2 linked regions of the Notamacropus eugenii genome follow. The protein of the gene in region 1 purifies or fractionates together with the protein of each later gene. This does not show direct contact. Links are inferred from orthologs where the notes say so. Each region holds a gene or a part of one and is shown on either strand. Other genes may lie near its edges. The genes, in order: PPIE and AQR.

Region 1 (15,349 bases):
CCCTGAAAGCTAGCACACATTTCACTGGGATCTCCACCAAAAAACCTTCCTTTGTATGAACACAGTCCAAGGAGTGGCCCCAAGGAAGAATGGATCATTTTGTAGTAAAACTCAAAAGAAGGGAAACCAAAGCTTTCAAAACTGTTTAAGACAGTGTGCTTCTCAGGCAGATGCCCATCAACTGAGGAGCAACTACACAGAGTGTGACACAAGAATGAGGCTTAGTACCAAGTCCAGAGAGAATCACAGCAAACTCCAATGAACCTCATAAAGCAAAGCAACCAGAAATGGGAGAACAATGCACATCATGACAACCGCTGAAATGCAAAGAATGCCCACTCAAACCCCCCCCAAATCATATTGTGCAATTCTAATTTCTAAGCTCGTCCCCAAAGAAGGAAGGAGCAAAGCCACCTAACTCCTTCTTTGCAGAGGTGGAGGACTATGGGTATGAAACACTGCATATCCTACCAGGTTCAGAAAATGTATTGGTCAGTTTTGCTGAACTGTTTTGCTTTTTTCTTCCTAAAAAGGTTATGGGCAGAGGATAAGGGAGAATACATATGGAAATGAAGATAATGCAAAAACCAAAAAACTTGTATGTTTCTCACCTCTGCCAACTCAAATTCAACAAATGCAAATCCTCGATGTTTTTCTGAGAGAGAATACAGAAAGAAGCAGTTAGATTATATAACTTCATGACAGGATGCATTGCTACCAATGGAGTTCATGGGAAAAAAAAACAAGAAACTGATAAAATCTATATCAGGAAGGATTTCTTTCTGACGCTACTCTCTAGCCCATTTGGGAACTGATGAGGAGATCCGTGAACTTTTCATGTTTTAGCCTGGACTCAGCAAGAACGAACAACATCTTAGAAATGCAGCCACTATCTTGCTTTAATGTATCAACAGCTCTGTGACTTGATTAAGGTATACTGGGGTAGATCACAATGCTTAGTATACAAATGTTGGAGCTGGTCAGCCAAAAAGTGCTACAAACCTGGTGGCCAGCATCTTATGGATGAGTTCTCAAGGCCACCCTCCCAGCCTTCCCAGACTGGCAGGGCCTGCCAGAACTTGTGGTCCGCTGCATACTGTGATGAAACCTTGGGAGAAGATGGCACAGGAAGAGTAGCTCTATCTAAATGAAAATATGTGTTAACATGTCTGATGACATCAGAATTTTAAACATAACTGGCTATGAATAAGTTCTGTCTGATGACATCAGAATTTTAAACATAACTGGCTATGAATAAGTTCTGCTAACCTTTGCTTACAAAGCTGCCTGGGCAACAGACCACAATTCAATCAACTATTGATTATTCATTCAACAAATATATTTCCATGCCTCTGGTGTACCACCCAGCACAATGGGAAGCAAGCTAGAGCATGTTCCTTGATGTGGAAATGGGCCTAATTTGATTGGAAAGGCCAGACACATGCGGCAACTAGAGAACAAAGCCACATACACACTTGGATGACAAAGAGCAGTGTGGTATGAAGGCGTGAGAAGGCCTCAGGTCGGTTCTCGGCTCTGACACCGGTTGTGTGAGCTTGGGGAAATCCTTTCTCTAACTCCCTGAGCTGCCTGTTCTTTATGAAGAAAACAGGAATAATAACCTTTACATTCCATACTCTCAAAAAGCTGTTGTGACGGAAGGACTCTATAAAATATCAAGCACTATAGAATTATGAGGAATCTCCTACAATAATATAACATTACTATCATGGCATGATAACAGCCGGCACCTTTGGAGGAGAAGGGAAAATTATGGAAATTCACTTGGCTGGACTGGTGGGGCCACCCGTCAGTGCTGGTTATTGGGTCCCTGCCTCCCAGTGGCCACTGGTCCTGCTGCGCCACACTGCTGGGGAGGTTGGGTTAACCAGGCACACTGAATGGAGACCCACTGACGGTGTTAGTAGCTTACAAAGCTTTCAGTTTCAAGGGAATAAGTCAAATATGATAAAAATGGCTCAAAGGCCAAGACAGACTCCTCCCCAATCCCATAAGCTGTCGATAAAGTTAATATTTACTCACTTTGATGCAATTCCCATGCGAGCTGCTTGGCATACAAAGTAAAAAAAAAAACTCAATAGTCCCTGACCTCTAAGAAGGAGAGCCTGCACAAAGGCACGGAGTTGGGAGACAGGATGATGTGCATGGAGAACAGCTGGTCATCCCACTGGGCCCAAGTGTAAGAGATCCCATTAATACAAGGGCTTAAGACCAGCAAAGCACTTTACATACCTTATTCTATATGAACTTTACAACAACCTTGTGAGGCTGGTGCAAATATTATCGTCATTTTACAGATAAGGAAACTGAAGCTCACAGAGATGGAAGGATTTAGCCAGAATGACACAGCTCTTAAATATATGAGATGGGATATGAACCCTGGTCTTCCCAAACCTCAGTTCAGTGCCCTCCCTACCATACCACTGATCTGATGGTTCCCAGAACCCGGTTCTTCAGTCAAGGCACAGCTGTTCCCCCCATGTTACAACAAGTCAGAGTGTAGTTTTCCTTTGATACTTCTGAACTCTTCTCCCTAAGATAAAGAAAAAGAAGTAATAAACATGTTCACCTGTTTCATAATCCAGCGGTATCTGAATGTCTGTGATGTCTCCAAAAGGGATAAAAGCAGCATGAAGGACCTTCTCATCCACCTCCTCTGCAAGGCCCCCTACAAATGAAGCAAAGGCATCCTTTTCAATTCTCTTCCATGTATGCTCCAGCCCTATGGTTAGGGACAAGAGTCCAACTCAAAGTCTAAGTGGATGGGCTTGCACCAAGTGACCTACAGTGTCCCTTAGAGCTAACAGCTCTAAATCCATGACACTGTGTGCCAGTAATGTGCTTGATGCACCTGACAGGCTACGCCCTACGTGTATGCAATAACAACAGCTAACACTTATTTATCACTTACTCTGTCTCAGGCACTTGGTAAGCACTTTACAATCATTATCTCATTTGATCCTCACCACAATCTTGGAAGGTAGGGGCTATTATATTCCCCATTTTTTCATTTGAGGAAAATGAGGCAAACAAGTGACTTGCTCAGGATCATCCAGCTAGATCTCCCATCTCCATGCCTTTGCACATGCCTGGAAATCACCAACTCCCCCCTTCTATCAAAATCCCTGATTCCTTCACAGTTCAGCTCACGGACCACCTTCTGCACTACACCTTTCCCTGCCGTGTCATATTTTGCATGTACTTATATATGTACATGCTGTCTCCTTGGGCAGACTGTACGCTCCTGGGAGAACAGGGACTGTTTACCTTTTGTGTTCTGTAATCCTCAGGGCAGCGCAGCACAATGGGAAGGGGCTTCTGAAAATGCCTGCCCAGGGAAGGGTTTTAAGCACAAAAATGACAGGGTCAGACGGATTCCTTAGAAAGTCTAGTCTGAGCTAAACAGGTCCCAGTGAAGGGGAGAGAAACTGGAAAGCAAGCAGGGATTTGCAATGTTGTCCTTCACAGGGGAGGTCCTTCTCATGGTGGAGAAAGCCATCTGCATCCAGGGAAAGAACTATGGAGTCTGAATGCAGAGTGAAGCAGACTATTTTCTTTCTTTCTCATGGTTCTGATAAGGTGCTTGGGTGCCTGAGCTTGAACCCCAACTTTAAAATAACATCTCTCTAAAAATCACATTTCTCCCTATCCTCAAAACAATCTCACGCAGTTTCTCCCCAGCCCAAGGACACAGCCTGGCCTAGCAAAACTTGTATCTCCCTTCCTGATACAGCAGCCAGCTGCACCAATAGAATTTATTAGTCTGAACCAGCTGTGTACTGGCTGAATGGACTGTGCACTGGGTCGTAACGATGTTTTCTACTCACTGACCAATCATATGTGTCCTAGACTTAGACATACGTATACTCCATTACATTTATCTTGTCTAACAAGACACTGATGAGAGCAGCCTGGCATTCCTGAGTCAGTCCCGACCCTCAGTTGACTTGGTGATGTTTCAGGCCTAAAACCACACCTCCATGTAGCACCCCTCTTGGGTTATTTCCCAATGGACTCTGGGTAAAATATCTGCACAGTCGACCCTGAAAGTGCATGTTCCTTTAAGAACGAATCACCCCTTAACCACTCCCTAATCCTGCCCTGAATCACCTAGTCCTCACACTTGGCACATGTTTTACAATAAAATATCCTCTATAAACTTTAACTGTACTCCACTCAAATCACAGGTTCCTTAAGAATTCTTGGCCACTGAGAAGTGTAATAAATCTTTACTTTGACCTCAAGAAGGCTTGAGACCATGCATGGATTCCTTCCAGGTGACCTGCCCCTGGTACCCTGGTCTTTGTAAGGGTCTCACTGCCCCCTTCCAGCCCTCATCAGTGCCTCCCATTCATCTAATTCTTCTATACAACATGACTAATGTGAAAATATGCTTAATAGGAATATATATGCAGCATGCTGTCTCGAGGAGAGGAGGGAGGAAGGAGGGGAACAAATTTAAAATTTATGAAAGTGAATGTTGAAAACTAAAAATAAATAAATGTAAAAAAATATAAAATTTTTAAAAAAGGCTGGGGAAGTTCCTTGGTGAACAAGCATTCGGTCACTCTATTAATGTCTACTATGTTCCCTTCTCAGCTAGGCAGCAGAGCGGAGAGAGGGCCAGGTCTGGAGTTAGGGAGATCTGAGTTCAAATCTGGCCTGGTCAAGTCACTTCATTCTGCCTCCCTCAGTTTCCCCATCTGTAAAATGAGCTGGAAAGGGAAATGGCAAACCACTCCAAGATCTTTGCCAAGAAAACCCCCAGTGGGGTCAGGAATACTCGGACCCGTGTCCTCAGACTCCCTTGCAGCTGGGACAACCGTCTTTTAGGTCCCCAACACTTAGTAGGGGTTTGGCACACAACAGGCATTTAATAAATGGTGCAGGCTGCGCTGCGGGCTCCAGGGTGACACCTTTTGCCTGCCTACAGGTGAGGGGCGTGTCCTCACCCGGGAGTACCCTGGACCACGGAAATTACAGGTCCAGCCCCCATCCCCAGTGCCACAGGCAGCATTTATTAATCGCCAGTTTGAAGGCTACTTCCTGCAGGGGGATACACCAGCAGGCAAAGGTAACCTACAAGTAAAAGAACGCTTACACAACTGAACCGCGTGACCCCTTCAGCACCCAACCACGGAGCGCAGAGCGCGCCCCGCCCCTCAGCCCCGCCTCCAATCACTCGCCCCGCCCCCAGCACAAACTGAGCTGGGTCCCACCCCCGAGCTGTCAGCCAAGTCTCGCGATAGCTAGCCCCGCACAATCTCTCCCTTGTCCTACCAGGCCTGAGGGCCAAGGCCTCCCTCCAGACTCTCCTCACCGGCCCAGCATCCCTAGGCCAGGTAGAAAACCACTCCTGCTGGAACCTCGACCTCTGCCCCCACCCAGTGCGGTGAAATTCCACTCACCTACATATAGGACCCGCTTGGTGGCGGCCATCTTGCGTCGGGCTACGAGGCGGAAGTCGACGACTCCCTCCGCCCCTATTTCCGCCCACGCCCAGTAGCAGAGGGCGTTGCGTTCCTCGGAGTCCCGCCGCAGCCATAGGCTGGCCGAGCTAAGAGGAGGCTTTGTGCGCAGGCGCAGCCTGGGGCCGACGTGGCGTCACCAATCGCGCTTTTCTTTGAGGAGATTGGAGTGGAAGAGAAAGGAGTGAATGGGCGGCCTTAGATGTTTGCCGTGGCGCTTAGCTACTCACTTGAGAGAGTGGTTTTTTAATGCGTGCCCACCAGAAGCCCACGTTGTAGGGCACTCGCCAATGACCCGGCCGCGGTGCCCGGGGGGCGGCCTCTGGGCGGGGCCCCGGGACGTTGTGCGCTCTGACGTCATGTCCTGGGCTTGCGTGAGGGAACGGCCGGCCCGCTTGGCCCGTCTAGCAACGCGGGAATTCCACCGAAGATGAAAACGCGTGTTGGGGGAGGGGACGACCACTGTCCCGGAGTCGGGTCCGGAGGGTCCAGTCCCGCCTCCGACACGTCCTCGCTGCGGCGTCTCACCCTGTTTGCCTCAGTTTCCTCATCTGTAAAATGCGCTGGGGAAGGGAATGGCCGACCCCTCCAGTGTCTGGCCGGAACACCCCGGGGGGTCGCACACCAGAGCTAAAAGGGGGGCTAGCGGGCCTTTTGTTCTCCTTGTGGTTCTTGGCACATCGGAGGAAAGGGGGGGGCGGGCACTGGAGGCGGATGGCGCCCGGCGCTGCCACTGTGGGCACTGAAGTTCCTCCTGAGTGCTTGAGAAGGACTCGGGCAGTCACAAGCAATCTTTCAGCTCCCCTCACCCACAGGAGGGGCAGTGCCAGCGGGCATCTCTCAGGACTGGCTTCCGTGACCTGGGAGGCTGGTCCTCTGGGGCCAGAGAGGGGCAAAGTGTCCCCATATTTTAAAAAGGGAGGAAAGGATCTGACAGTGCAGGCCAGTGAGGCTGGTTTAATTTTGGTCGAAGATCTAGAGGAGGATCTAGAGAGATGATCACAGAGAGAGCTGGCCTGCCTTGTGATGGGTTTTGACAGGCTCCAAGATAAATGAGAAGAATGCTCTGTGGTTTACCCAGATTTTCGCAGAGCTTCTGAGAGTTATTTAATAGGATTCTTGTGGAAATGATGGGGCTCCATAATGCTAATTTGTTGGATTTGGAACTGGTTGGACTCAACTTGAAGGGCACTGTTTGGTACAGGGTCCCAGGAATCTGTGCTTGGCCCTGTGATATTTAACATTTTTATCGGTGATCTTAATAAAAAGCAAAGATATTGAGAAGACACCTTACCCCCTCATTTATAGAGAAGAAGGCTGGTGGGATGGGAAGGATCAGCTTTTTTTTCATTAGAGTGAAGTTATTTTTTAAGGATGTATAAACATATAGACACATCTACGGCTTTATTTGTCCTATCTAGTTTAAATCCATCCTAAAGTAGAAATCACTAGGCATTAATAATTAGATTCTGGAATTTAACACATCCAGCCAATAAAAACAATCTTTAAAAAAGTTACACAAACCAGATCTGCAACTCATACAAAGGTGGGTGGGGTAACATTGATTGAAGTTCAGGATGCAAAATGATCTTGATGAGGTAAAACATTGGCCTAATCTAAAACAGATGAAAGTAAAGTCTTACTTTATTTGGGTTAAAAGAACCAACTTCACAAGTACAATAGGACAGGCTTGGTTAGATTAGTAATGCTAGATGTCCATTTGTCAAAATGTTGATTATGAAGACTAGAGAGAAACAGTGAGAACTCTTCCAACTCTAGAATTCTGATTGGTTTATCTGACAAAAAGACCTGTGAGTTTGGGTGAGCTAAAGTGCAATGAATCCGCAGTATGAGATGACCGAAAGAAAACCCAAGTTAGTCTTGGACTGAATGAAGACAAGCTTTAAGGAACAGTCCCTCCCCTTCTGCCACTCTTGTTGGACCACATTTGAAATAGTGATGTTCTGGGTGCCATAATTTGGGAAGGATGCTGATGAGCTGCAAAGCATACAGAGTAAAGTAACCAAAATGGAAAAAGGTCTATGCCAAGAAAATCAGTAAGCTTTCTAGTAGGGAATTATTTCTTCAATTACTTTGAAGCCCTTCAGTTTTAGAGCTTCACTGAATAATCTTGCTCAAAGGGTAGCATCCGACCAAAGGGTGTCGCTTCACAATTACAAAAGTTAGAAGGAACCTGAGGCGTCTTTGAACATCCCAGTCAAATGATCACCCAAACGTAGCTTCAGAAACTCTGGCAAAGGGGAAGCCATTAACTCCAAAGACAGCTCATACATTCCAAAAACTTCTTACCAGGGAACAGTTTGAACTACTGAACCCAAGTCTCAGTTCCCTGACTTAATGAATAAACATCTTCAAATTCTAAAACTATTAAAGAGGGGCTCAAAGGATTTTACATTCACAAGTGTACAGGTCACGTGGGGTTGGCAAGCTATCGGTGCCAGGATGGGCTACAATAGAACTGTGGAGTTGAATAGCTACCACTCATTACAAAGTGGGTGGTGCTCAAGATTTTCAAGAACTCCTGCATCTTTCCTCCAGAAGCCACATTTCAGCTTGCCGCATTTCTGGGGATGTGCAGTTTTGGTCTTTGGACAAGCTAGTGATTACTAGCTGTAGATTCCCAGGCAGCTTGTAGGACTAATTTTTTTAGTGCTCCCAGAGGCTGTGGCCTCATTCATTTGGTTTCTTCAAACATGGTTTGTTGACAGTTCAACCTGTCCTTCTAGACTACCCTTATTAAACAAGGAATGGTTTACCCTTGAGGTAAATACCTGAGTGGGAATTCCTCCACGGGACAAATTGAATTGAATGTTACAGATACATTAGTAATAAGTGTATTTGGCAAACGTTAAGCATATTGATTCAAAAGCTAATGCACCCCAGAATTCTAGGATTTTTTGCTTCTAAACATCTTCTGGTATCCATTCTCCAATTAAGGAATATGAATAGGAAATTTTTAGAGAAGAATTCTAAGCTATAAATGACCACATGAATAGATGCTTTAAATTAATATTAGAGAAATGTAAATGAAAACAACTATGAGGTACTATCTCATACCCACCAGATTGGCAAAGATGACAAAAATGGAAAATCATAGCTGGAAGGGGTTGTGGGAAAACAGGTGCACTGCAAGTAAAGTGGTGAACTAGCTCAAACATTCTAGAAAGCAATTTGGAACTACCCCCCTCAAAACTGCATACTTTGATCCAGAAACACCAGGTCTGTATCCCAGAGATCAAAGCACAAGTGGTGGAAAAGAATCAGAAACTGAGGAGGATGTTCTTCAGTTGGGGATATGATGGAATACTATTGACTTTGACAACACTGATCAATACATTACCCAACTACAGCTTCAAAAGATGTGATGAAACATGCTTATGATACAGAGCTGACAGACTTAACAGCAAATTGAGGCATATTTTGTTTTTTTAGACAAGGCTGAGGGAATGTTTTGCATCACTGTACGTAACTGTAATGGGTTTTGTTTTTTTTTTCCTTGAATAGGTAAAGGAAGGAGGATGAGAATTTGGAACTTAAAATTGTAAAAAAATCTTTAGTTGTGTTCTTGCTCATACAGTACTTAGTAGGTCCCAATACTTCAAATGATCAGTCATCCAAAATTTATTAAAGTCCCTACTAGGAGGCAGCTGGATAGCACAGCAAACAGAATATGTAATTGTAAGCCATCTGACATGGTAGTCAGCCCTGTCAGTGGAAATTGTGACTCAACCACACCACCTCATCCAGTTTAATACTTTTGAGCTAGTGTAATCCTGATTCTTTAAGGAGATTTGTGATGTACTAAAATATGACATTTCACAATTTAAAAAGTCCAACTCTTAAAACTCAGGTTTCATATCTCTACTTGTTGCATGAAGCCTGCGCTGCCAAAGCCAACTCAGCACATGCCTCCGATAGTGTGGCATTGGGTCAAAACTACCAACTTCACATGGCAAAGAGTGGAGCAACAGGCAAAGCTACGTACAACATTTATAAGCACAGGTGCTATCATCCTTAGAAAATGAGGTAGATAAGATTACGCATCCCCAAAAGGTCATAGATACTACGTGACACCACAGACTCCAGATCCCCTCTACTTCCAGATGGTCACTAGGCTGGCCTTTTGGAATGGATTATGTATTAAACTGAATAAAAAGCATACTATAAAGTTTGCTATTAAAGGAAGCTATAGTTCAGATGACCCTGTGGCACTACTTCAATAATATCCAAAAGCAATGCCACTTTCTAAATAAAAATTCGTTTTCTGACCCCTGAAACGTTCTTTGAAGTTCCCCATGCAAGCATTTAAGTCCAGTCTTGGCTTGAAACTTGGTAAAAAACTATTCATTGTACATAACTGAAGCCAATATAAACATTTCCTATTTATGAGGAGCTTTTGGGTTCTAATGTGACAGTTCAAGTGTGACAGGATCATATTTTAACATGTCAATTTAATGACAACCCCAAACAGTCCTCCTCATTACCTAGGAAATAGCAAACTGCTTGGAAAACCAGAACAAACAAGGAATAACAAACTATCTGTGCAATTCCATTCTGACTTATTTGTGTTCCTAAGACTCCTTCCAGTGAAAACTTGGACTTATTTTTGACATAAGTCAAATAAACTCCAGTAGAGTTTGAAAATATGGGAATAAAAATAAAGAGGCAATTTATGAAGGTTTTACTTCTTTATTGAGAAACACTTTTCCAGACTCTGTAAATTGGATACGTCAAATAAAACCAATTCCTGATAAAACCAAAACAAAAATACTGTCAGAAAAGCTTTTTTAGAAGAGAAAAATTAAATAAAATTAAATTAAAGATTAACAGGGTCCAGGCAACACACAAGAAACCTGCCCATTTTGACCACTGGAAAACTTCTTAGGGTTTTAAGAATTGACCTTTCAAGTTGATTTTTTCAAAAGAAAAAATCTCCAGAATGGCAGCAGCTTCTTCTGCCATGTCTTGTTCAGTCTGTAGTAACTGAAGAAGTCTCCACATGTTGAGTGAACGAACATCTAATAAAGGGGCTATTTCACTTCAGAGTATCCTGCAAAGAAAGAAAGGATTCCTCAGAGACCATTCAGTTTAGTAAAAAAAAATTCTAAATTTAGTATTTTATTTTTTCCCAACTACATGTAAAAACAGTTTTCAAAATTCATTTTAAAAACTGAGTTCCAAATTCTCCCCCCTCCTTCACTAAGAAGATAATTGATACATTGTATCACATGTGTATTCATGCAAAACTTATTTCCAGTCTCAAAATCCATTCCTTTTCTCTTTGACAAATGAGGAAACTGAAGTCCAGAAGAGAAGTTTGTCCAAAGTCAAGTCCCTGTCCTTTTATCATTACATACATATTTTAAGATCTAGGGATTCAAAGCCAGATCTTTCAGCTCCAAGAACCAAAACTGCCCTCCCACTGAATTATTTGTATAGGGAGCTGGCCAACTCTTTCATCAGTTTTGGTCCTAGCAACAATTGTCTTCACTTTTCTCCGTACCCTTAAAGCCTCCAAAGCAAAGAGTCATCAACAAAGCTCACATACTTCTAACCTACCCACATATATCTAAGAAGAATTTGAAAGCAAAGGGTTGGAGGAAGGCTTGCCTGGGTTTCCCTAATTGGGGACCAATAGGATACAAAATATTTTCTAACGGAAATCCATTTACCAGTTTTCTGGTTTAAGAGGTAGCAGCGACCACGGCCACCTTCTGAGCAGCTTCCTTCTTGGCATGGTGAGCTTGTAACACTGCAACTGCTTCCTCCACCTGGACCAGGTGATCAATCATTCATTCAATTAGGTGTTCTATGTGCAGGGCATGGAGGAAAATACCACCAGTCCCTCCCCTGGAGGCCCTTTCCATTTACTTTTCCATAATCCCCACAAATGTCCCCATTAAATATGGCACAAGCCACAGCTCCAGCTTAGAGGCCCAGATACATTCATTCAAAGCTAAATCATTAAGTTCAACTAATCCTATTCAACATGATGTTTTTAAAGAAGCACCTATTAGGCACAAGACACAGTGTGCTCAATTAAAGATACAAATTGAAAACAAATACATAGTTCTACTCCTCAAGGAACTCAATGTGGAGTTAATTAAGGAAATTAACCTAATTTGAGGTATTTCCAGGAGGTCTAACACTTAAGTGAGCCTTGAAGGAGGGTTTGTTCATTTGTTCCTCATGGGGGTGGGGTATCCTGTGCAAATGCACAAAGGCAGCTGATGAGATGTTAAAATGGCTGAGAGGTCAGGGCGAAATGAAGTTATAAAGACCAGTGGGAATTAAAAATAAATAAATAAAAATAAATTTAAAAACAAAAAAAAACACAAAAACCCAGTGGGATAGAGGTTGGTGGGGAAGGGCTTTGTGTTTATTTGCACTGGCCTCAGCTGGTAAGAGTAACAAAGGGGGGGGGGGAGGGGGGCGGTGAGCCTAGGATGAGAAAAATAAGGTGATTCAGAAAAGAGCATGTCACATTGGCTGGAGTCTAAGCTCAAAAGGGAAGGAGGGCACATCATGCTGGATACTAAAGACAAGTAAGTCAGAGGAAAAAGAAGAGTTTGATCAGGAGACCAATCAGACACTTCAGACCTTGGAGATGATGCAGTGCCATGCCAGCAGAGGAGAGTAAGGGCCGTGGCAGAATGGGAAGGGCCTGGAGTGTCTGTGAAGGCTGCCCTTCCACTCTTGGGGGGACCCTAGTTTCCCCCTATCCCTCTCGTTTATTTACTGAGCAGACATAGAGCAAAAAAAATGCCCAAGTGTTGAGAATGCCAGTGGGTGATGGAGGAGTACAGCCCTTCTCCCCTCAGGGTGCTGTGTTACATGTACATGGGGTTCCCCAAACTTAATCCATTTTGAAGCTACTCTGTTCACAGGACAAGGTTCCCCATCTTTTTCCAACCACTTCATTTCACAGATGAGAAAACAGCCCCCAAGTGTTCGGAATAGCAGCAGGGCAGCAATTCACACTTGGGTCTTCTTCCTTTAAACGAGGCTATGTTTCATTATGCAGAAAGCAAATAAGCTGCCCCTTTGCTAATTCTAATAATGCCCTTCCATGAAACCAAGCAGCCTTACCTTTGACCGGAGGGATTCTGGAGACTCTAGCATGTGCAGCAGTTCTGAATTATCAATCTCTAGCAGCATACCTGTAATCTTCCCCGCTAAATTATTGTGCATGGTTTGAATTAATGGAAACAAACGCTCTCCTACAAAAGAAATTTAACACACGCTTAGGTCAGCCTGGCTCCCTGCAAAGACCCAGTTCTGCAGAGAACCGCCTCGACCCCACCCCAGCAACGAATGCCTTACTTACCCAGCATCTGTTTCTGTTCCTGGGGAGGAGCAGCGGCCAGCATGGAAGCCGTCAGGGGTTCCTGGCCTTGCACGTGGACTGCTGGCTGAGGTGTCTGTGGGTCAAGAGTTAAAGAGTCCAGGTCACTTTTCACATCCCTCTCAACATGCACTAGAGACCCCTCCAGTTAACTTCAGCACAGAGGCTTCCCTATTACCTGCAAAGGCGGGATAGCTGGATGGGGGCTTCGGACATTTGCAGCATATTTGTAAGGAGGAACAGCTCTAGGTGCAGGGGTAGCTACAGAGGGTCTAGGAGATAAATTTTGCACAGCAGAGGGCACCCCTAAAAAGAAAGCACCAAAAATATGTTCAGCTTCAGCAAAGAACCAAGAAACTCAATACTAACATGAAGGGTGGTTGAGCTGCCCATAAGCCTTTGCTGACCTGTACCACATGGATCAAGGATTCTTTTGTAAACTCAATTACATGTAAGGATTACACAGAAAACACTCATGGATCCTTCACTACCCTCAGCACCAAAAGAGAAAACTAGATCCTTTTTGAAGCCACTTACAATTATTTTGAGTCTATATTTAGCCTGATATATACACTTGGCTCCATTTCAGAAAAGCCCAGCTTAGTACTTAACCCTACCCAAAGCTGAACTAGGACTTGATTCAGCCCCGGGGCATGATTTCATCCCTCCTGTCAGTGCGGGAGGAGGGGAAAGAGCAGAGAAGCACAAGGAACACCCACACTGCAAAGCTTATCAGAGCAGAGATTTTTTAAAGACCAGGTTGTGACTTAAAATCCCACGTATTTTCCATTACAACCAAATCCAGATTTAAAAGATCAAAGAGACAATGAATACCAAAGTGCTTCTGACAAAGGTGCTAGGAAACAAAATCTCATTATTTTTATATAGCTGATATTTTCTTAAGGAAATTTAACAGTAAAACCTAAGCCTCAACAACTTAGGACTGTGGCTCTGGAGCTAGACAGGGCCCTCGCTGTAAAGTCTCTACAACAAACTCACAGGCTCTAAGACCTCACGCCACAAGACACCTCAGATCCTTCCATTTACATGATGAGGAAATCTGACACCACACATAGTACCAGCAATACTGCACAATGATCAAGTGTGAAAGACTTAGCTTCTCTGATCAATGACCCATGATGAAAAATGCTCTCCACCTCCAGAGAGAATGGATGAACTCCAAGGGCAGACTGAAGCTTACTTTTTTTCATTAATTTCATTTATTTTTCTTTTTCTGTGTTTTCTTTTGCATTTTTGCAGAAATGTTTTGCATGACCTCACGTGTACCAATGAAGTCAAACTGCTTGACTTCTCAAAGAGGGATGAGGAAGGAGAGAATCTGGAAATCAAAATCTTAAAAAAAAAAAATTGTACATGTAATTGGGAAACAAAATAAAAAATACTTTTAAAATAGAAGGAAGCAAGTCCTTTCTGAAAGTGGCGAGAGGGCTAGGTTGGAGATCAGAGCAGCTGGACCTGGACTTTTTCTAGCCTCTACAAAATGGGGAATCACTGATGTCTGCATCCAAGCACCCATCCTTCACTTAATGACATATATTTACTTACCCACTCGCTGAGGTGTAGTAGGGAGACCTCGGGAAGCCTGGGCATTACTGGCTGGAGTCAGGTGGCGAAGAGTCGGACGTGGCCCAGACTGGCGAATGGCATTTGGCACTCCTTGGAAGCCTAATGGGGAGAAAAGCAGCATCAAGCATTAAGAATAATTCCAAACAATTAAAAAATTGAAACTGTGTGGGTACTTGGGGAAAAGAATAAGCATCATGAAGAAAAACCATCATGAGAAAATAGTCTTTAAATCCTTTTGATCTCCACTTCAATCCCAGCTGGTAATGTCATCTCCCTCACTTGATGCTGTTCTACATACATTAATCCACAATGGATTTACATATAGCACCTCAGCAGAAATCCTTATTCATGCAGTCAATGTGTTTTCAGTGAAATGTGAAAAAAAATTCCATTCCCTGACCAGGTTCAATTTCTCGAGCCCTTACTGCTCACTGAATCCTGTAGCAGTCATCTGTCTATGGTCTAAGTGGAACCTGATTTTAAGGGTGCAGATTACCCTTCCTTTTCTTTAGATGTAATTTTACACCTGTATTTTTAAACAATTTGGTCATAATCCCAGGAGCACACTTCTAGTTAACATACCTACACTATGACCACTGTGAACAGAAATCTGAAGTTGTAATCTGCGTTTACTTGCAATTTTTTGATTGTATGTTCCTTATATCTGTGGATTCAAGTTACTAAAGTGATTACTAATAAACCTACGCAAAAAGAGACTTAGGTTTTCAACTTAGTAGCTAACAAATAGCTTAATTCTTGGCATATGAATAAAGGGACCACATGCTAAAAAGAGTGACACTTCCCCCCACCCCCAACAGTGTCAGCTCAGCCTCAGATAATACAGAGCCTACGGAGACTCCAAGTGGAACCAGCCATCAGAAACACCAATGGGGCTGACTGAGAGCTT
Region 2 (15,034 bases), on another chromosome or scaffold:
ATGGAAGACTGTGAAATATCTAATTGGAAAAACAACTGACCTAGAAAATAGATCCAGGAGAGATAATTTAAAAATTATTGGTCTACCTGAAAACCATGATAAAAAAAAAAGAGCCCAGACATCATCTTCCAAGAAATTATCAAGGAAAACTGCCCTGATATTCGAGAACCAGAGGGTAAAATAGAAATGGAAAGAATTCACCAATCACTTCCTGAAAGAGACCCAAAAAGGAAAACCTCTAGGAATATTGTAGTCAAGTTCCAGAGTTCCCAGGTCAAGGAGAAAATATTATAAGCAGCCAGAAAGAAACAATTCAAGTGTTGTAGAAATACAATCAGGATAACATAGGATTTAGCAGCTTCTACACTAAGGGATCAGAGGGCTTGGAATATGATATTCCAGAGGTCAAAAGAGCTAGGATTAAAACCAAGACTCACTTACCCAGCAAAACTGAGTATAATACTTCAGGGGAAAAAATTGAATTTCAATGAAATAGAGGACTTCCAAGCATTGTTGTCGAAAAGACCAGCGCTGAATAGAAACATGAAAAGGTAAACAGGAAAGAGAAGGTATACAGGACTTATTAAAGTTTAACTGTTTACATTCCTACATGGAAAGATGATATTTGTAACTCACGAGACCTTTTTCAGTATTAGGGTAGTTAGAGGGAATATATAGAGGTGTGCATAGGTATGTATGTATGTATGTGTATATTATATATGTGTGTATATGTATATGAGTGTATGTGTATATGTATATATGTGTTTATATATGTGTGTTTATGTATATATGCATATACATACATATATATTATACACACACACACACACACACACACACACACACACATACACACATAGACAGAGGCTGCAGGGTGAGCTGAATATGAAGGGAGAATACCTAAAAATAAAATTTACTGTTGACTGGAATGTACTAGGAATAACGGAAAGGGATAGGTAGAATGTAACAAATCAGGTCACATAAAAAAGCCAAGAAAGAGCTTTTACAATGGAGGGGAAGAAGAAGGAGGTGAAAGGGAATGTGAGCCTTATTCTCACAGGATTTGGCTTAAAGAGGGAATAACACGCACTCAATTGGATATGGAAATCTATTTTACCCTGCAGAAACGCAAGGGGGAAGAGGATAGGGGGGGAAGATAACAGAAGGGACAGCAAATTGGGGAAAGGGCTAATCAGGAGCAAACACTATCATGGGGGGACAGGTCAAGGAAGAAAATGGAATAAATAGGGGGCAGGACAGAACAGAGGGAAATGTAGTTAGTCTTTTACAACATGACTGTTAGGGAAGTGTTTTGCATGGCTACAATGTATGACCTATACTGAATTGCTTGCTTTCTCAAAGAGGGCGGGTAGGGAGGGAGGAAAGGTGAGAATGTGGAACTCAAAGCTTTAAAAATGAATGCTAAAAATTGTTTTTGCAGCAACTAGAAAATAAGATGCATAGGCAATGGGATATAGAAATCTATTTTGCCCTACAGGAAAATAGAGGGGAGGGAAATAGAAGAGGGGGTTGAAAGAAGGGAGGATAGACTGGAGGAAGGGGTGGATGGGGTACATGCTGTCCTGGGGTGGCAGGTGGAGAGAAATGGGGAGAAAATTTGGAATTCAAATTCTTGTGGAAGTGAAAGTTGAAAACTGAAAAATAAATAAATAATATTGAAAAATAAAGATGAGGAAAATGAGGCCTTGGAGAAGTTCCATTACTGCAACTTGAGCTAGCTCCTGTAGGTCTTATGTGGCAGAACCTAGTTTTAAACTTAGGTCCCTTATGTCTTCCCCATAATTGTATCTTAGTTGCTTTATAGTTTTCTATTACATTAATATGTTATTGAAGTTGTAGTGCTTGGGGGACCCCCACTCCCACCTCACAGGGCAGGTCCACTGGAAGAAGGCTACTCTAGGTTTAATGAGTGAACAAAAACACATTCATTAGGTAAAACACTAATGTTGGAGGTGGCTTTAACACCAGGACTTAAGGATCTTGGCAACTCTTTTATTTCAAGTTCAATGATGGGAAAAATGAGACACTAGCAAGTCTGAGAGAAGGTGATGGTTGGAGTAGTGGCGGTGTAAGCTGGTTTGTCTTCTCTGTTGGTTGGTTGTTGTCCTTTGTTCTTGAAGAGGACCAAAATGGCATTACCATGATAAAGTGAAGTTTCAGGGTATACAACTGTGGCTGATCAGACCAATGCAAGCTCGGAATGCTCTACCACAGATTGGGCACAGATAGTCTGCATGAACATTTGGGGTGGTTACTCCAAATTTGCACATCCTACATTTCCTTTATGCTGTTTCAATTCTGCTTTGCTCATAGAGCACAGCACCTTTTCTGATGAGGGCATGCCATGTTTAGGGGTCCTGTGGCAGCGTCTCCCAAATCACACAATCAATTCCAAAATTCTTGAGACATTGAGGGTGTCCTTGTATCGCCTCTTTTGACCACCATGTGATTGCCTGCCCCATATGAGTTCTTCATAAAATAGTCTTTCTGGGCAAGTATATGTTTTGCATTCGAACAATGTGGCCAGCCTTTCAGAGTTGCATTTTCTGAAGCATAGTTTGAATGCTTAGCAATTTAGTTTGAGTAAGGATCTCAGTGTCTGGTGCCTTATCCTGCCAGGTGATCTTCAGAATCTTCCTAAGACAGTTCGGATAGAAGTGATTCAATTTCCTGGCATGGCGCTGGTAGACTGTCCATGTTTCACAGGCATAAAACAAGGAGTGTAGGGTGTATTCAGAAAGGACCAGTACCTCTGGTGAGATGGCTGCCAAGCCTTTTTCAGGGCTGCTTTCCACCTTTGGTGTCCACCTGTTCCACCTAACACTCACCTGTGGATCCAAGAGGCTGTAACATGTGCAGTGGCCATACCCTGGTATACCGTTTCAGGAGATGGGCCAAATCAGGTTGAGGGTTATCAAGGGGTCTCAAACTCATTGGTGAGTTGGGGGATGTTTACCCCAAGCATGTGAAGACTTCCCCTGGGGGAATGGACCAATGAGAACAATTTGTTTCAAAGGCCATGAAGCCAGTTGAAGCAGGTGACGTGGAGCATTTAGACCTTGGTTACACACTGAAGATGCCAAGGTCGTCCACAGTAACCTGAACTATCACTAGTCATCTTGATTCTATCCTGCCACTGGACTGTGATGACTCTCTGTTGGTAGTTGATGGTTGAATGAATGGTGCTGGAGGGGATGGGAACAGAGGACCCAGTCTTGAAAGGGTTGCTTTTAAACATAATTTCCCCCAATAAACCTGGGTTGCACTCTCCCACAAATACATATACCAACAGTAGAAAAAGTGAACACACATAACGAGTATATATGGTTATTAACATATATGGAGAGGAATACAAATAGTTGCTGTTACACCAGCAACATCCCTAGAAAAAATTCTGGTTTTTTTCTTTCTTTAATAGCCTTCCTCTGTTTCCATTCTAGCTAGACTGAATTTCAGCTATATATAGTTGGAGCTTCTTGGGCATCAAGTTCCTCTTCCCAGCTAGATTATGCCCTCAGAGCTTAGCTTTTTCTTTGGACCCCACTTCATGGTCTAGCATCTTGGGTTTATTGCCCCAGTTTATGGTGAGGATTCCCTATACATCTTGATTTTAATCTCTGAAGCCAAGATTATACCTGGTTAATATTGATGCAAGAGTTATTAATTTAATATCTGTCAAATAGCTTAAAGGTTCAGGGTTCCCCAGTTTTCCAATTCCAAATCTATTTTCCTTCATAGATGAGTGGATGAGGTAAAGACATAGAAATAAAGCTAAACCTCGGAGGCCCTAGTAGACTTGGCTTCTCATGTCTATACAGCCTAGAAAGACTAAAAGCCTTTGACATCTTTACACAAATCATTCCTTCATTGTTGGACTTCTAAACTGCTTGCAGTTTAAATCTTTGAAAAAATATCTTTCTCTTTTTAATACTCAAAGGGTATACTCCTAACAATGGAATTAGTTAGTCAAAGGGCATCATATCTGCTGAATATTACCCAGTTGTTCTTGAAATTTATCAGCAATAAACAAATGTTTTTCTACAACCAGGCCAGCACACTTTCATTATTTTTAGTTTCTCCATTTTGATGGGTGTGAAGTGGTTCCTCCAACTTGTTTTAATTTGCACCTCTTTGATTATTGAGGTTGAGCACTTTTTTCAAGTGAGAATTAACAATTTGTATTTCCTCTTTTGAAAATAGACTGTTCATATTTTTTGACCATTTATCTATCATGGACTAGAGTTACCACTTTTTTTTCAACAGTTTCATATTTTTTTCGATGCCAGATTTTTATCTCTCATGTCTGTCATAAATATCTCCCCCAATCTGTTATTTTTCTTTTAATTACATTTTCTGCTGCACGGAATGTTTTTAAATTTTACAGCAAGCACACCTATCTTGGCCTCAAGCTTCAAGAATTTTATTTGTTGAAGAAAAAGTCTTCTTTCCATCATTCAGAGAAATAGTCCCCTTTTCTTCCATTTTTTTCTATTTAGTTTTTGTCCAGTTCAATAACCACTTTGTAATATTTTTTGTTCCAAAGCACATTTTACTTATTCTTTTTTCTTCTAAACTTAATGAGCACTAAAAAAAGAATATTTTCATATACAAGTAGAAAAGACGATTCTATGATACCATAAATCTCTTCTACTTATGGTCTCCTTCTTAAAAAGTATAAAAATTCAGTGTCACTTTCACAGTTGGCCTGCTTCTGTGTGTTTCCACTCCTAACCTCCACACTTGCATCTCTATGGTACATCTCAAACTGGATGTCCCAAGGACATCTTAAACTCACCACAACTCAAACTAAACTCATTATCCCAAAAGCTGCCATCTTCCTAACTTGTCAGTTACTGTCAAGGGTCCCACTATCCTCAAAACTGACAACCTAGGTGTCATGCTAGACATCTCTTACTCTGTCTTATCCCACACTTCCAATCTGCTCTCACTGAGCCTGCTTCCCACTGGATATTGCCTTGCTAGACGATGCTCCTCTGGACCTAAGGGTCTTGGCAACTCTCACAGTTCAAAAACCTGTTGATTTTTACCTTCATAACATTTTCATCCATGTGCTCCTGAAGAGGTTTTGGGGTGATGGTGGACCCCAAGATACCGACAGTCCAGGTTGTGCTCGAATGAATTTGACTCAAGCCTTCTTAAAGCCAAAGAAAACAAAGTTTATTAAAGATTTGCCAAACTGGGTTGCCTCTCAAGTAGCCTAAGCATTTGTAACACTTGTATTCACAAACGGGCCAGACAGAATCCCAGCTAGACAGAGTCTGAGCTGGATTGAATCTGAGAGCCTGCATGGAGGCAAGATGGAACTTAAATACAGAAAAGCGTATAGGAGGGATCTGGGGGGTGGTCTGATAGTCCAGGGTGATGGGAGGAGGGGTTTAGGAAGGGTCTTGAGGAGAAGTCCAAGGAGAGAATCCAAGGAGGGTCAAAGGCTGGAGACAGCTGGAGGCTAATCAGGAGATATCAGACTATGGAGGGTTTCGGTAGGAAGCAGGTGGGACAATCCAGAGATCTTGATAGGGGCAGTACAGGAATGAATACAGATCTTGATGAGCTTCCGGAGCCTTTCAGAACAAATGGGAAGATTAGATTTGAGTAAGAAAGGCCAGATTAAGTGGGAAGATTCAAGGGGAGCTCAAGGAGGCTCCCAGAGTCTGAACCCCATCACTCCCTTCTCCCCCGTGATACGGCTAACCACCCTGGAAGGCCTTAATCACCTAACTTAGACCATTGGAACAACTTGCCGATGGGTCTTCTTGCCACAAGTTTCTTCCCAATCCAGTCAATCTTCCACTCAGCTGCTGAAAGTGATCTTCCTAAAACCAAGGTCTAATCATGTCACCACCACCGGCCCAACTCAATAAACTATACTGACTGCCAACGACTTGAAGGATCTCTTCAGCATTCAAAGGCCTTCATAACCTGCTCCTCTCTCCCAACCTTTCCAGGTTTCTTCCGCCATCCTTCCTCGCATATACTTTCCCATCCAGTGACCCTGCTTCTCTAAAAAGACACTCCATCTTCAGGCATTTTCTGTGCCTGGAATGCTCTTCCTCCTCATCTTCACCTCTTGGCTTTCTTCAAGGGCCAACTAAAAACCAACTTTTTGCAAGAAGCCTTTCCCAGCCTCTCTTAAGGGTTGATCACTTCCAGTTCATCTCCTCTTCAGCTTTTCTGGACCTAGCTGTTTGCACGCTGTCTTCCCCACTGCACAGGAAGCACCTGGAGGACAAGGGAGGTCTCTGGCCTTTCCTTGTATCCCCAGGGCTTAGCACAGGGTCTGGCACACAGGAAATGCTTATTGACTGACTGTTTGAATGACCCCATTTTAAACGCATGAATTTGTGTCTAGGCCGCAAGATGGGGGATGAAAATCAAAGTTCTAGAATCCAGAGGCCTTGCTCTGGGAACCTTTCTGGGTCACTTCTCTCTGTCCCTCAGTCCCTTATTCTGTAAAATGGGGACGACGCAGCCTTCTCTCTGCATTACACTGAGAAAGGAGGAAATTTTATTTAAATTGGGGGGGAGGTGGGGATGAAAAAGGTTCTATTGATGTATCGCATCGCAATTTATTAGTGTTTTATTAATCACATCGATAGCACCTCAAATAAAATCTAAAGCATCTAAAACGCTTTTCGAACTTTAAAGTGCCATATACATGCTAGTATTCAAATTTTGGCTTTAAGAGCGGAGCGTCCAAGCTCTGGAACGGAATATTAACAACAACAGGTTTCATCCCGGACCCCTCCACAGAGCCTTCCGGTCCAGAGGGGCTGAGGCGGCCTACTTCCGGTTAGGTGGTTTTCCGCCGGCCTAGGCCTGAGGGAGTCAGATTCCGCCCTCCTCCCCACCTTTTACAGTCTGGAGAGTAGGAATGGTGACACCTGCCTGTCCCATCGTGTGGGTCGGGGGCGTGGGCAGAGGCTGAGGCCTACACCCTTTTCTAGGCACCACTAATGAGCTCGGAACCCGATGGAGAAAAAGCCGGAGCGTGTTTCTGCCCGGAACCTTGTCCGGGTGGCTCTCCCGCGGAGTTGCGGCTGCGCACTGAGCCTCGTTGCCGCCGCCGTCGCCGCCGCAGCCTCAGCCGCTGCTCCTGTGGGGCTTGTCGCTCTCCTTTTCCTCAGCTCCTCGCTGTCCCGACTCCAGGTGCGTGGGGTAGTGGGCAGAGTCGGTGGGGCGGGGCAAGCTCGGCACGCGTGGGGAGGCCCCTGCCCGTCTGGCCACCGGGAGAGGGACCCGCCCCGGGCGGGGGCGGGGATGGGGGGGGGGTGAGGCAGGACTCCTTCCCTTCCCCCCCTCCCCTGATGCTTTTAGTGCCCCCGCCCCCTCCTCGTCCCCGTCCGCGTCCCTGCCCCGAGCGCGTGCGTGAGTGTGTGTGCGTGACGTTCTCCACCGGCACGGGGCGGGGGCGGTGTCTCAGGCCCCCACCCCGCAGCAGCTTTCTCCCTTCCCCAGCTTGACAGCTTGACCCCTTTCTCCAGCCTCCGTAGGGATCGGAGGGAAATGCACCAGACCACGATTTAGGTAACATTGTAACTGTTTGTGTGGCAAGGCCAAGGAGGAAAGGCACCAGACCACGAGTTAGGTAACATTGTAACTGTGTGTGTGGCAAGGCCAAGGAGGAAAGGCAGGGACGGGTGGGCGGAGTCGCGAGGATGATAATAATAAATAATCATGGCTAGCATCCATCAAGCTCATTAAGGTTGGAAAAGCACTTTACAAATGTCTCATTTTGTCTTCATAACCACTCTGGGACGTAGATGTAGGAGGATAAAGCGGGTACCTACCTAGAAAAGGAAATGCACCAGACCACGAGTTAGGTAACATTGTAACTGTGTGTGTGACAAGGCCAAGGAGGAAAGGGTGGAGTTGAGATATTAACATATTAATAATAACTAAAATTTTTGAAGTGCTTTAAGGTTTGAAAAGCATTTTTCAGTTTCTCAGTTTTATTTTCACAGCAACCCAGGGAGATAATAGGTGTAGGGGGCAAAGGTAACTAGGAGGTATTGTCAGTTCTCCGAATTTTACAGGTCAAGAAATTGAGGCAGACAAAGGTTAAGTGACTTGCCCAGAGTCACACAGCTGTAAGTGCTTGACATGAGATTTGAATCCCAGTTGCTCAGACTCTTTCCACTGTGTTATGTATTTGCATCTAGCTAAGGAAAATGCCACTAGAAATTGCTCTAGGTGTCCAAAAATTACTTGAGTCTAAATTATTTGTTTTTTGATTTGATTTCAAGTCCTTCTCCACACTTATGTAGTGTTTTAAATGCAAGAATTATCCCTTAGGAGAAGCTGGGCCTACTAGAGTCTGGAAGACCTGAGTTCAAACCCAGCCACATATTTACTAGCTCTGTGACCTTGGAGAAGTCATTTAACCTTTGTTAACCTGGCACATTGTAGGCACTTAATAAATACATATTCCTTTCGCCCTGTTTTACAGATAAAAAAATCTAGACTCAGAGAGGTTAAGTGACTGACCTGATTTCATACATCCAATAGTAGATGGTCCACATTACTGTGAACTCAGGGTTTTTGACTGCCAAGACCAGTGCTGTAGGAACACATATAAATCAAGGAGTTTGAGAAGTTAACAGGTTATCTAAAGACAGCTTTGGTGTTCTTCAGGAGAATCAAGAAGTGTTTAGATAAATTTGTAGATGTTAAAAGCCAAGAATAATTTAACAAAGAAGAATCAAAGTGGTCCGGGTCATTTGATGTGAAAAATTGTTCTGATTGGGAGGAGACCTTGTTTTTCAGTTTTGGCTATGCTATTAAACTGCTTCTGTGAACTTATACCACTTATCTCTCTGGGGTCTTGGTTCTCATTATGTGAAGTGAGGGGGCCAGACCAATCATTTCCATGTCCAAAATTCTTATAAATTTTTGCCATGCTAGATACATCCCTAAATTGTCAGGACGTAAAGGACAGTTTTGCTATCCCATAAATGTGAAATTTTCTGTGTAATTTTCTGGCTGGACTTGACTTGATAAAATATGATATCTCTGATTTTTCATTTAGAATAGGAAGAACTGCAAAATTTCTTCTTTTAAGAACTATTCTCTCCAGAAAAGCTGATCACATGTTGCAGCATTTTCTGGTATATACAAGAAGGAAATTAAGTTTCATCTGAAAGGTGAACAGCCTTACAACAGCATTACAAAACTGATATATCAAACCCAGCCTCTTTGACATTCAGGAGGACTATAGGCCATCAACTGAGATTGTCTCCTGGTTCTCACTGGAAATATGAAAAGGGGTTATCCTGAGTCCTCATCCATTCATTCAGAGTGCTTTTTTTTAAAGCACCTTTTTGCAGAGTTGTAATTTATGTTGAAGGAGAAACTAAATCTAATTAAGACATAATCCAACCTTTCTTAGGGCTGATGAAGAAATAATTTTTGTTTTGAATTGTGGAGTGAGGGCCTGGAGCTCAGATGATTGGTGACTCTTGAAATGAAGAGGGTGAGGAGTGGGATTGTTAGGGGTTTACCAGCTCACTTCTGAAAAGTGGGACTTACAAAGGGTTGTGGACCAGGTGGCTTCTGAGCCCCCTTTGAGTTCTCAGTCTGAGATCCTAAGAAAGTCAGTGTGCAAACCTTCTGGGGTTCAACCAATGAGAGTTCTTAGATGTATAGGGCCAGGTACCATTGCTACACCATGAAAAAACCAGAGCATGTGTGACATCTTTGGCATGAATGTTGTAGATTTCCAACTTCTGGGTTCTGATGGTGCAACTCAGGCACTGACCATTGCAAAAAGATTTCACAGAAAGGACGCTGAAGTCAAGCAACTTTGCAAACCATTGGATTCACATTTTTAAAAACTTTTGATCACCAGAGCCAGATCATGGTACTTGTACACTCAGAGACAAGGTCTATAAACTATTTGTCCTCACTGGAAAATTAGGGCCTTGGCTATAACCTGGGCAGTTTGTTACAAAACAAATACCCTTGTAACATGGAGCATATAATTTTATAATAGTAAAAGTATGTGTATTTATCACTTTTTCTTCATATCCATTTAAGTTAAAATTGTTCCTTGATCTTACAGTGTGCGTTTCACCGCATGCCTCCCCGCCCTGGGCAGCTGTTCGCCGTTCTTACACCCTAGTCCTCTCTCGATCACTTGTATCCCATGCTCAGTGTTCACGGTGGGAATTTTGGAAGTTTACATAAGATTTTAAACTTAAGGAGAAAACCTGTAGTTTCTAGATATATCAAAAATAACAACAGGTAGTTAATTGCTTTAATATTAAAGGATTTGTGTGATGTATTATGTTGCTCCTCCTCTAGTCACTGAATTGTTTTTGTTTCTTTTTGTTTCTTTCTGTTCTTAAGCATTTTGTTTCAGTTTATAGGATAGGATAGATCATCAGGAAGAATGCAGGTCAGCTGTGACATGCTCTGGCCTTCATTAGGATTCTAGTCATTTCAGCTTAATAGGCTACTTGGTCATTTTGAATAAAGCTGCCACATTTATTTTTCTCCATTTTTCTCCCTCGCTCTAGATCAGAATTTCTTGGGAAATTATATAAATATACTTGCTCTGTTGATAAACTGCAAATAGCTCTTATGTTATTTCTAATGTAGGTAACTGAGGAGAACCAAAATGGATATGAGTCATTTTGTGTTGAATGGCTAGAACCAAAAGATAGTAGGTCATTAATGGTTCAGTGTCATCTCGGAAGGATGTCTTGGTCCTGTGCTGTCTGATGTTTTTACCAGTGTCTTGAATCAAAGCAAAAATTGCATTCTAATCGTATTTGCAGATAATCCAAAGCTGGAGGGGAAGAGGGAGTAGTTAACAAGATCTTGACAGGCTAAAATAATAGACCCAATCAAACCAGATTAAATTTGTTAGGGATAAATATAAATTCTTATGCTTTGGAGTTCAAAAAATCAATATTACAAGTACAAGTCGGGGATTAGGTAGCAGTTTGTCTTAAAGAGATCTAGAGGCTGTGTGATTCAGCAGTATGATACGAAAGCCAAGGAGGCAAATGTAATCTTAGGTCTAATGTCTGGTCTTTCAGAGGTGATGGTCCACTTGGCATCTGCCCTGGTCAGACTATCTGTAGTCTTGTGTTCTTGTTCAGTTTGCATTTCAGGAAAGACATTGACAAGCTAGAGACTTTGCAGAGGAGGGCAGCTAGCATGGTGAAGGACCTGAATTTCATTTCATATGAGTATCATTGGAAGGAATTGGCCTGGAGAAGAGAACACTTACAATGGACATTGTAGCTCTTTTCAAGTATTTGAAGGGCTATCACATAGCAGAGGGATTAGATTGGTTTTGCTTGAATGCACAGGGCAGAAGTAAGAGGAAGAAGTGGAAGTTTCAGAGAGGAAAATTTAGACTTAATATTTCCAGACAGAGCTACTATGCGCAGATGGAAATGGCTATCTCATGAGGTGGTGGTTTCCCTATTTCTGGAATTCTTGAAGAAAATGCTGGATAAAAAATTGCTGGGTATGATGGGAAGGGAATTTTTGTTAAGTAATTCTAGGTGAAAGACATGAACTTAGAAAAGACAAAGGCTCATGTTTCAAATGGCTGCTAACAAAGCATAACTACATTTCTGACCTCCTTCAGTTCAATAAGTTTTCAGTCATGTCCGTGACCCTATTTGGGATTTTCTTGGCAAAGATACTAGACGGGTTTGCCATTTCCTTTTCCCACTCATTTTACAGATTAAGAAACTGAGGCAAACAGGGTTAAGTAACTTGACCAGGGTCACACAACTAGTAAGTATCTGAAGCCAGATTGGAACCCAGCAGCATGTGTCTTTCTGACTCCAGGCCCACCTAGCTGCACCATGATTAGACTTCTTTCTCCTCTGGCAGTAATTGAAAAGGAGGGCCAGAGCAGCAGCAACTTCTCTGATTCCTTCCTCCCAAGGAGAGGTGAACATAGGGTGAGTGGAAAACTTTTTTTTGCAGTTGTGGGGACAGAATAAAATTGATTGTGGAGTCACAGGGAAAACTGCGAGAGTGTAGGACATCCGAGTGAGATGCCATCCAAAATAATAATCACAATAGTTAACATTTACATGCTGCTTTAAGGCTTGCCGAGTGCTTAATTATATTGTCTCATTTGATTCTCATAACAATCCTGAGATAAGTGCTATTACTAACCCCATTTTTATGAATGAGGAGACTGAGACCTAGATATACAAGGCAGTTCCCTCTGGGTCATACTGCTAGTGAGTGTCTGAGGTAGAGTTAGAACTAAAGTCTACCTCACTTCAAGTCCAGTACTGTACTCACCATGCCACCTGTTTATTATTGACTGACTTTAGTGTATAGTCAACTTTAGGCCCCTCTGGAGCTAATTATCCAGGTCCTTTGCTTTTCCATCTTCCTTCTCAGTCACTCCCACTACAGAGAAATAAAAGAAATTACAACTCTAACCAATCAGTTTAATTACTAGTTAGCTTCTCTGATAAGTTATTCATTCATTAATTATTTGCTAAGTGCCCATTATGTTCAAGATTCTATATTAGGGGTTAAGAACACATGGTCCCTGCCATCACTGAGCCTACTGTATATGTCTTGCATTTTTGTATCTTGTATTTATGTATCAATTTACAGTTTTCAAATAACTTTCCCATGTTGTTCCATTTGATTATAACATAACCTTGTGAAGTAAGCAGGGCAGGTGCTATTTTCCCTGTTTCACATAGGAGGAAACTGAGGCCTCGAAGTTGAAATGACTTGTGCAAGGTCACTTGGCTACTAAGAGGGAGAGCCAGAATCAAAAATATGACTTAGTGCTGTGAATCTTCCATGGTACCTCTTACTGCCTGTGGTGTTCTTCCATATACAGAAATTGTTGAATGTCAAAAAGAATGTGCTAATAGCTCATCAAAGAATTTGTTTCAGAAGAGCTGCCTTTCTCACCAGGCAGGTCATGCCTAATGGCTGCAACATATTTTGTGTAAGCATATTTTTATAGTGGTAATATTACTTTCCTGTCTCCAAAAATGTTATTTAAGTTAAAATTTTTATAAAAACTTAAATTAGAAATTATATTAATTTAATGAGAGAAACAAATCCAACTTAGTTACTTCATTCAGTACCATGGCTGTGGCCGATCTTTTCTAGAGAAATGTGACATTCCTAAGGGATTTAGTAGAGTTATAAAGTGTTTTCTTTTAAAAAACTTACTTCTTAGGATGTCCAAAATCAAAATATTATTTCAAAGGATACATCTATGATTCTTGTTTTCTAGAATTGGTATTTTATTTTTAAATACAGAAAAACCTCAGGTTTTTCTTTCAGCATAGTATTTTTAACCTGTGATCCCATTCATCTTTTTAGTATGACCAAAAAGTCCTTGAAATAATACTTTTTTTCTTTTAACTTTTAGCAACCTATGGAGTTTAAGAAAGCAATGGATCTCAGTGGAATTCACTGAAAAATTTTGTGACTGAAGTTTTAAAATGGTAAAGGTTCAACAGTGTGTGGTGTCTAACAAGTTACCTAGGAAGAGGCCATATATTTGTAATATTTGCTTCAAGCACTTTGAAACACCATCAAAATTAGCCAGACATTATCTTATTCACACTGGTCAAAAGCCATTTGAGTGCCATGTGTGTCATAAAACTTTTAGGCAGCTAGTTCATCTGGAAAGACATCAGCTAACTCACAAGCTGCCATTTAAATGTAGTATTTGTCAGCGACACTTTAAAAATCTAATAACCTTCTTGAAACATCAGCAGCTCCACAACGAAAACTACCAGAATGATGTAAAGCAAGTCAAAAGATTGGTGGAGTCCAAGCAAGAGAAACCAAGTTATGGGGTATTCCGTTCTTTTTCGACAGAAGAAAGGTGGGTATTACACCCATCCTCCAAGTCAGATCATGTGTATGGCACTGCAAGGAGAAGGAAGAAAATCCATGCATGTGATACCTGCAGCAAGATGTTTCCATCCCGCTCAAAGCTGGAAAGGCATTTACTTATTCACACTGGCCAGAAACCTTTTAAATGTTCTCTTTGCAGTAAGTCATTTAGACAGTCAACTCATTTGAAAATCCATCAGCTAACACATACAGAAGAGAGACCTTTTCAATGTTGTTTTTGTCAAAAGGGATTTAAGATTCAGAGCAAACTTCTAAAGCATAAACAAATTCATACCAGAAAAAAGAATTTTCAGACTATTTCATTCAAGAAAAAGAATCCAGAACCACACTCAGCACCAATTAAATTAAATTTAAGGCAGGATGGTTTTGAAAATGGTGACACACAGGAACCCGAGGAAGATGCTCCTGAGGTGGACTCTATTTATATTGTCCCTTTTCAGTGTCCAGAATGTGAGCAGTGCTTTGAATCAGAGCAGATTCTCAGTGTTCACAAATGTTTGCAGGCAGGAGGTGCTAAAAATACAAACGGCATCAAAAGAAAACGCAACTACAAAACTAACGTTAAAGGTAAAGTTTTGACTAAGCTAAGGCGAGGTGGGGATAAGACGTTAGATGCCTTTCGGTCTGACAAAAAGAAGTTTAAAGCTAGATTCTTAAAAAATCGTGATCTTCTTGGGGAGCAAAGCTCGGATCAGAATACCTCACCCAAAACTTTTAAGAGTCCTCATGGCAAATTTGGGTCGTATAAGAAAGTTAGTAGTAGTAAAAAGAAAAGACATTTGCCATTTTCCTGGCAAAAGCAACTGCAGAGCCCTAGTGCAGAAATCAATTTGAAAGGTACTATTAATAGTGAAGGAATTTTAAATGTAGAAGATTCCGTGAATAATGACATAATGATTTATAGTCCATCTGGTGAGGAATTCTTTGATGATCCTGAAGCGCTTCAACATGCGCTTTCAGCTCCCACTGACGAGCTGCATACAAGACATAAAATGTGTCCATGTGACAAATGTGAGAAGGTTTTCCCTTCTATATCCAAACTTCAAAGACACTATCTAATTCACACTGGACAGAGACCTTTTGGCTGTAATGTTTGTGGGAAGTCTTTCAGACAGTCAGCTCA

Evidence for each region.
Region 2: the proteins of PPIE (region 1) and AQR purify together in Homo sapiens (affinity purification with mass spectrometry; 5 studies listed by BioGRID and IntAct, counting the BioPlex papers as one, with this or other methods). This does not show direct contact. The link is inferred for Notamacropus eugenii from reciprocal best matches to the Homo sapiens genes PPIE and AQR.

What each region holds. Positions count from the first base shown.
Region 1 is NC_092876.1:79,566,154-79,581,502, reverse strand, and holds the start of PPIE (peptidyl-prolyl cis-trans isomerase E), read right to left. Parts: upstream 5,840-15,349; 5' UTR 5,461-5,839; coding exon 5,430-5,460; intron 2,690-5,429; coding exon 2,591-2,689; intron 2,555-2,590; exon of another isoform or gene 2,443-2,554; intron 656-2,442; coding exon 612-655; intron 1-611. Other genes in the region: PABPC4 (polyadenylate-binding protein 4), read right to left, coding at 11,195-11,281, 12,600-12,730, 12,838-12,931, 13,034-13,161, 14,422-14,541. UniProt on the Homo sapiens protein: Involved in pre-mRNA splicing as component of the spliceosome. Combines RNA-binding and PPIase activities.
Region 2 is NC_092878.1:19,787,484-19,802,517, reverse strand, and holds the start of AQR (RNA helicase aquarius), read left to right. Parts: upstream 1-6,995; coding exon 6,996-7,188; intron 7,189-11,739; exon of another isoform or gene 11,740-11,963; intron 11,964-13,417; exon of another isoform or gene 13,418-13,490; coding exon of another isoform or gene 13,491-15,034. Other genes in the region: ZNF770 (zinc finger protein 770), read left to right, coding at 13,491-15,034.